Regions from separate parts of the Mus musculus genome. Here region 2 is reported to be linked to region 1. The links are microRNA targets in miRTarBase. Many come from high-throughput screens and were not tested one by one. Region 1 holds a microRNA gene; the other region holds the end of a gene's coding sequence.

Region 1 (4,277 bases):
TTTCATTCCGGTCCCCATTTTACTGTTCCAAATCAGCAGAGTAATGCCCTGGAATCATGGATTTCAGAAACGAGTTTATGGGAAATTTTGTGCAGTTGTAGAAACCTAAAGCACCTTGATATCCAGTTTTATCATTACCTTTTATAAATTATAAATTTTATCATAGGAAACAAAGCACTGAACAACTCTTCCAGCTATGTTATGGACTAGATGTTGGTGACCCTTCCCTCCCAAATTTATATGCTGAAGTCTAGCTCTCATCATGATATTATGAAGAACTTTGGGGAAATTGATTAGGTGATGTGGGTAGAACTACGAGAAATTGATTAGTATTGGTCAACTAAAGTGAAGAAGAGTCGATGCCTCTCTCTTTGCAAGTGTCTACTTCACATGCTACTCAAGAGGCCAAAGCCAGGCATGACGATGCATGTCCACGATTCCCAACACTGAGAAGGGGGAAGGCAGGAGATTTGGGAGTTTGAGATCAGCCTGGGCTACCTGGGCTACATGCATCCCTGACTCAACTAGTCAGTATCAATCAGATACTTCATATAAAGATTGATCTTACATGTATATCTTCTATCTCAAGAACAGAGCTTGTACCGTATAATCCTCTATAGCCCTTAACAGGACATGAATATTCAAATAAAAGCTTATGACTCATAAAATATTGTCAGAAAAGAAATTTAAGCTAGTAGGCACAGTGGCATAGTCCTAGTTACTTGAAAGGCTAGGTCAATCCCTCCCCACCCATGTGTGTGTGTGTGTGTGTGTGTGTGTGTGTAAGAGGGGGGGAGGGAGGAAGAGAGAGAAAGAGAGAGTGGGGTATCAACCTTCAAATGTTACTTCAATACAAGGGCTCCAGCTTTGGTGAGTAGACTTCTAGAAATTCTCTGGTCTCAGCCTCTAATCTCCCAGTAGGAAAGGCTACACTGAGAATATGGACTTAATGTTTGTTTGTTTTGCTTTGTTTGAGACAACATTCCTCTGTATAGTCCTGGCTATCCTGGAACTTGGTTTGTAGACCAGGCTGGCCTCCAACTCAGAGATCTGCCTGCCTCCTAAGTGCTGGAATTCAAAGCTTTGTGACACTACACCTGAATGGATGACAAACTCTTGAACTACCACTTCTAGCTGGTTTTGTGGGTTCTGAGGATCTGAATCAAGTGCTTTTGTCCATTGAGCCATCTCCCCAGCCTGTTTTCTTTAAAATGAAAGGAAAATGAGCTGAAGTAAATTAAATTGTGCACTATACTACAAACAACTTAATCCACATTGCCACAAAGCAGATTAATTGTGAAGCTTAAAAGACATGCCCACTGCTCACACAACAGGTATACCTTATATAATCTTTTCTAGCCAGCTGTTATTTATTTGTGACAATTCCCTACTGGCTTCTACTCCCTGGTGATCTACAGGATTGCTGCAAAATTGTTACTTTTCCTTTACACCAGTAAATAGCATGAAACTTGAGACTAACCAGAAATATATTTCTGGGGATTTCCTTGATTATTCAACTCAAAACTAATCCCAAAATAAAAGAATAGTTACAAATATTGCCCTAAATTTATTATCCCAAGACTTTCTTTCTCTCCATATATGTATGTGTTACGTATGTATGTTTATTTATATATGGGGCTATTATAATAAAAATACTCATTAGTGTGCTTGCTATGTGGAATTATACTGCCTAAGAGGATATTTATACTTACTGCCTATGAACTAAGATATGTACAGGATGAGATGTGAGAAAGGTGCAAATGAATGTTGGAAAACATGGACAAATATATGGAACATGGAGATCTGAGCAGTTATAGAAGTACAAACAGAATCCACGAACTTGGTGATACTCCAGAGAGAAAACCAGCAAGTGTTGACGCTAACCTGGCAGAAACATCAATACTTCCTGGCTCCCCCACTGGGTGCATCAATTTACTACCGGAGGTTGCTCTTCTGCAAGTGACAAACAGGGAATGCTTTCAGCAATATGAAAAGAAATGACTCATTATGGGGAAGCATGGTTGTGGAAGCACTGAAAAGGTATGATTTCTATTAGTAGCATATACAGACTCAATCAACTCCAAGGCTGGCTAGCTTATTGACCTCGGAAAAGTAATTTTTTTTCAATGTCAATACCATATAGCACCCTTCAAACAAAGGTGAGATTTATTTCACAAACAATTGCAAATCCTTCATAATATGCATCTCCTCTCTCCCATGCTCCTAGTTTGGGATATTTGAAATGGAGTCCCCTATGGCCTAAGCTATAGCCTAGAACTCTGTATGTCTGAAGTTGGTATTGTTATCCTCCTATCACTGGGTTTGTTGGCATGTACCCCCATGCCTGGCCTATACATTCTTATATTCTTAGTACTAAATTCTAAGGATTATCCTGAATTCAAATAAATTACACTTACCACAGTGAGTAAAATGACATAAAGCAGATGGGCATGGTAGCACATACATATAATCACATCACTTGAGAAGCTAAAGCACGAGGATTCAGAGTTCCAGGCCAGCTTGGGCTAAAGAATGAGTACAGGTCAATCTGAACTATAAAGACAACTCTATCTCAAAAACAAACAAAAGTAACACAAAGCTCTGCTAGAGTTAACACTGCAGTTTTAGTCTTCAAAGTAGATTTGATGTATTAGTTGAATTAGAAAATGTGTTATCATAGGGCCCCCAAAAGAGGAGCTAGAGAAAGTACCCAAGAGCTGAAGGGGTCTGCAACCCTATAGGTGGAACAACAATATGAACTATCCAGTACCCCCCAAGAGCTCGTGTCTCTAGCTGCATATGTAGCAGAAGATGGCCTAGTCGGCCATCACTGGGAAGAGATGCCCCTTGGTCATGCAATCTTTATATGCCCCAGTACAGGGGAACGCCAGGGACAAGAAGTGGGAGTAGGTGGGTAAGGGAGTGGGGGGGAGGGTATGGGGGACTTTAGGGATAGCATTTTAAATGTAAATGAAGAAAATATCTAGTAAAAATTTTTTTAAAAAGAAAATGTTTTATCAACTGTACTTAACAAAAAAAGCATCCAAATGTACTTAGAATTTTAAAAGCTGAAGATAGTATATTAATTAGTTTTATGAAACACCAAGAAAAGGGAATGGTTTAAAGGTTCTCCTTCTGACGAATAGAAAAAAGTTTCAATAAAGGGCAAACTTTTTCTGGCCACCTACTGGGGTGCATAATTTTTTTCCTCATTCAAAATAATGGTGTAGCATTGTGGTGGTTTGAATATGCTGGGCCCATGGGCACTATTAGGAGGTGTGGCCTTGTTGAAGGAAGTGTGCCACTGTGTAGGCAAGTTTTGAGGTCTTCTTTAGTCCTCAAGCTCTACCCAGTGCAGATGAGTCCCTCCTCCTGGCTGCATGCAAGAGATAGTCTCCTCCTTGCTGCCTTCAGATCAAAATGTAGAACTCTCAGCTCCTTCTCCAGCACCATGTGTATCTGGATGCTATCATGCTTCCAGCCATGATGATAATGGACTGAACCTCTGAAACTGTAAGCCAGCACCTAATTAAATGTTTGCCTTTATAAGAGTTGCCATGATCACAGTATCTCTTCACAGCAAAGAAACCCAAACTAAGACACATACTATCCAATAAAAAGGATATTTTTTCTGCTATATGCTTTTATTAAAATAAAAAGCCTATTCTAAAACACAGAGGCCTCTTAGTGGCTGCTTTTTCAACTGATAACTAGACAGCTTTTGTTACTAAGTCAGTTCAAAGCAATTCAAAAGTACTTACTGAACATCTTATCTATAGTTTACCTGTGCTAGTGTAAAATCATTGTCAAGAACACTGTTTGAATTTTTTCAAGAATATATTGGTGAAGAAGACTGGACTAGGAAGACACTGCCACATTAATACCTCAAGATAATGTGGCCTAAGAAACAAATGATACCTGCTTGAACCAGGCACACATCTTCAACCCTCCCATATTCCATTGTAAGTATAGGGCATGATATCAATGATAGCCTATACATTAAAACTACAAAACAACGTCCTAAACCAGATATTCTTGGTCTAACACCATGCAAAAACTGCATCTTTTATAATCAAGAAGACAGCCAAACTGGCAATCCATCCATACACTGCAGTAATTGAGGGGCTGTCTGCCAGTGTGAATAAGGCATCCTGTGCCATATCTGCAGTGCTGAACACTCATTCATCATTAATCTGCAGTAGTATTATCATATGCTGCAGCTGTACTAATATATTTGCTTTATGATCACTGCTGACCTTCACTTACATCAGGAGAGG
Region 2 (4,277 bases), not on the chromosome of region 1:
GTTCACTCTGTAGACCAGGCTGGCCTCTGCCTCTCAAGTGCTGGGCTCAAAGGCTTTTCACCACGAGAGCCTGATTTGGACTTTATAACTGCTTTCTGGCCTGGTGGAAGGGTTCTGTGGCAGGACTGAAGCTCGGAGTTTGACTCTTGAGCCTCATGTGGAAGGAAAAGGAAACTGACAGGCAGAAGCTGTTCTTGGACCTTCAGGAACTCACTACGGCATGTGTACGCTCATCCACAAAAATAAAACGTAGTTATTAAACAAACAAACAAACAAACAAACAACAACAAAAAACCCGAAACAAAACTTGTCAAGCTGGAATGTAGCCTCAGCACTGGGAAGAAGACACACATAGTTACACAACACAATACCCCTCAAAATAAAATTTAAAAGGTTTGGCCAAATAGTCTTTTTCCTTACTACAAAAACCTATCTAAGATGCTGAAGGCTTCAAAGGAGCACGTGAAGACCGGTGCAGCCCGGCGGCAGCTCCTGCTAGCGGCAGCGCTAAAAGCCTAGGTTTGAAGTGGAGAACCTGCGATAAGTTTCTGGTGCACTTGCTACATTATGACGTTTCTGCATGTGTCTAAGATCATCTTTGATGATTTAAAAACTGAAGACAGGAGTGGAGAGATGGCAAGCAGGTGGGAGCAAACCCTGCTCATGTGGAAGCCCTGGGTTTAGCTCCTAACACGCCCCACCTGTAATTCCAGCTCCCATGCAATGCCGTGTTCTGACACTGTAATACATGTGCACATACCCCCACACAGATACACGCAACTAAAAAACATATCAGTCTAAAAACCTGAAGTTAAGGCTAGGTGTGATTAGTTCAGGCACTTTGGAGGCAGAGGCAGGCAGAACTCTGAGTCAGAGGCTAAGCTGGTCTACACGGGGAGTCCCAAGACAACTAGGGCTACACAGACAGACCCTGTCTCAAAACATACAGACAAGCAAAATAATGAAACAAAACTGGAGTTATAGGAACATTTACCACAGCAACTTATTAAGCTTAACGCAGGTTTTGTGTTTGGTGGGTGACAGGAATCTCATACTGTCTTTATGCTACAGACAGCAGAGCATGCTGGAGTCAGGAGGAGGTTAAGGAATGCTCACCACAGGAGGTGCTTCTACACTTAGCAGGCGAAAAATACACCATTTGCAGTCTTCTTTTTTTCTAGCTTGTCAGGAGGATGGGACAAGGCCAGTGGTCCTCAACCTTCCTAACGCTGTGACCCTTGAATACGGTTCCCCATGTTGCGGTGATCCCCCAACCACGAGGTTATTTTCATTGCTACTTCATAACTGTAATTTTGCTACTGTTATGAATCATAATGTATTTTAGGAGACAGAGGACTGCTAAGGGGCCATGACCCACAGGTTGAGAACCACTGAACTATATGTTCAGCATCCAAATAAATGGAAGTATCCTTCTTCAGAGCCCCACACTCCAGATTATGTGTACATAAGATTCCAGACCCATTCCATGGCAGTGTCTGATTGAATAAACTGCAGATGGGGCATGCAGCTGGAGTGCAGAGGAACAAAATAAGACTTATGAGATGGAGTCAGAAGGCCCGAGCTCTCTCCAAGTTTCAGGAATATCAAACCATCCACTTGCAAACTTTCTGGGCTCCTACTAGCTAGACTTAAGTAGTAGTATCTTTGGAGACATATAACTATATATTTATGATAGTGGTTAATGAAACCAGGCAACCATGGGACAGAAGAGATATCTCACTGCTTCAGCGGGAATCCAGGACAAATGAACAGAGTTTAGGGCTTGATTAGTCTCCTAGACTTTTAGCTTAGGAAACCATTTTTTTTTTCCTTAAATATTCTATCCTGAAGCAAGTTTTATAAATAAATCCCAAAGACTTAATATAATTCACACTTAACATCTTCTTTCTTCAAATAAACACAAAATAAAATAGTGAGGCAAAGAGATGAAACAATTGCAAAGTAAGGTGGGAATTCTGATGCTAGCTAGCTAACATATGAATTATACTAGTCTAAGCCTGGCAGCACGGTGCATACGAAGTTAATTCTAGCACTTGGGAGGCGAGGGTGTGTTGATCTCTTATGAGTCCAAGACTAGCCTGGTCTCCATAGTGAAGTCTTATCTCAAAATAAATAAGTAAATAAACAAGCAAACAAACAAACAAATAAAAATTTCATTGTTAATTTGGGCATTGCTTTTCAAGTATGGCCAGGTAACAAATTGTTAGTCCCTGTAAAGAAAAAAACATAAACCAACCAGCCAACCAAAAGCCAACAAAGGACAACCTTTCCAAAATCCATGAGGCAAGGTGACTTTTCATTTTTATTTATTTAGTTATGACTGTGACGACTACCCCAATTTCCTAGGAAGTTTTCTCTTGATACTGCTGCTGTTGTACCAAGGTATAAGGGCTCCAAGTCTCACAAGACATAAGGACCACAATTTTTGACTGCAAACCATGATGCTGGGTAATGTTTGAATGAAAACATTTGATATGGATGGTCAGATGAAAGATACCAAAATGTCAGACAGCCCATCGACTGCTGTTGCCATGAGATTCAACAGTCAACATCAGTCTGATAAGCTATCCGACAAGGTGGTACAGCCATGCGATGTCACGACCACGACAGGGGGCAAGCACGAGGTGCTCAGGCAGGGTTTAAAGCAAAGCAAACATCTCTGGTTTGCTGGGGCTTAATGCCAATTCTAGGAAAGAAAGCTGTTTATTTTCCTACCAGGCAAAACAAAATGAACAGGGTCAATCAAAAAAATGTCAAAGGAAAATCACATTGAAATAAAACACAGAAATCACACAGAGAAGTAAGCTTCCACCTGTTAAAGCCGGAGTACAAACAGCTAAAACTAACATGAACATGAAAAAGCCTTTCTTGCTAGTGTCCTCTGATTTATACATCACCACTTCTTGTTTTTATAAAGTAAGAGATTCCCACTCTAGGTGAACCTCATAGTCCCGCTTAGATCTCCAGCCCAACAACAAAACACCTTGGAGGTAGCTCTCTCAGGCAATACATAAAAGCCTGGGCAATTCTGGTTTAAGTCTAATTGGCAAGGCTGCCACTCGCTTTGTAGAAGTGAAAAAGAAACAAAAAACCATAGCACTAAAGAAAACGGACACAATTTCGGAATGATCAAAGATGTCTTTATAAAGTTTTTCACGACTTCATTCTAAATATACAGAATAAAAAATGGCGTACTCATTTGTGAGACACCAACCAGATTTTCCTTATACTGTTTCAAAATTTAAAGATCAATTTCCCCAGAGGGTGTGCAATGCGTCATAAAATGGCCTTTTTGAGGGTGGGAAAGGAAGGCATATTAAATTGTTCCATGATAGACATGCAAGATTGCTATCCAATATATATAACTTATATACATTTGGTGACTTAGAAAAAAACAATCATTTGTGACAAGCCTAAAAAGCCTGACATATTTAACATACTTCAGAAGGTTCTGTGTGGCCCTGTGAAGGTATCAGAAGGCCAGTTTTTGTTAAGTTTGCAGCAGAACATCACATCCACCCTAAAGAATACGACGTGGATTGAACTGAGGGTGTAGACACCTTACCTTAACAAATAAAGTATGTCAGTGTAACATATGGACTAAACTGCTTTCAGGAAGAATGTTTTAAAAATCAACACAGGTTGGAAACGGGGACCTTCCTTCCTGGTTAGAGCCCTCCCAGTGTAAGGCAGGACTCCACCATGTTAACTTCTGCAGATAAAAACTCTCTGCTTATTTAGTTTTCTCCTCTGAGTTCAAGCGCTGCTGGATTCGTTTGGCATAGTTTTGTGCCATGGAGTTAATAATAGACAGGACAAAGTAACACACCATTGCAACCACCAGCTTCTCAAACATCCAGGATAACCAGTTTTCTCCCTGTAGGAAAGAAAGCAGAACAATTCAAGAAAAAGGGTTTCCTCGGTTCAACACTAAGGAGATTATTTGCAACACTTCAAGGGAAACAATGAGAACTTGAGGCTTGCCTATTATACCCAAACAACTAAAAACCGGTCTCTAGGTAGGCTGAAATCCACATTCAGGCCAAGCTTTTCCACACTAGGTTGTCAGTTCAAGCTGTGGGATGGATAGCTGATGCTAACCTGTATGGCTTAGGGAGGGATGGGAGGGTGGGCTGTCCTTTTACACTGTGACAGAGTGGTCTGGTTAGAGTCTATACTTTCTCTACAGCCTTGCAGACCTTGCTTGGAAGGGGAAGAGGACCTAAACTCTGAGAGCTGCTTTTAGAACATAAATG

What was found. Region 1 holds the annotated microRNA mmu-miR-505-3p (CGUCAACACUUGCUGGUUUUCU, at 1,858-1,879, opposite strand). A microRNA usually pairs through its seed, bases 2 to 8, with sites in the 3' UTR of a target mRNA and lowers its output. Matches are read on the target gene's strand: a 7mer-m8 pairs with bases 2 to 8, a 7mer-A1 pairs with bases 2 to 7 and ends in A, and an 8mer does both.
Region 2: the mRNA of Vmp1 is a reported target of mmu-miR-505-3p. Seed matches in the 3' UTR shown: 7mer-m8 at 2,566-2,572.

What each region holds. Positions count from the first base shown.
Region 1 is chrX:60,392,559-60,396,835 of GRCm38, forward strand. It overlaps Mir505 (microRNA 505), which reads right to left and starts at 1,934; the gene lies at 1,845-1,934. The region is part of intron 1 of Atp11c (ATPase, class VI, type 11C); the gene reads right to left.
Region 2 is chr11:86,581,554-86,585,830 of GRCm38, forward strand. Vmp1 (vacuole membrane protein 1) reads right to left here. Exons shown (of 12, transcript NM_029478.6): 12 at 2,305-3,898. The coding sequence ends at 3,755. It overlaps Mir21a (microRNA 21a), which reads right to left and starts at 2,605; the gene lies at 2,514-2,605.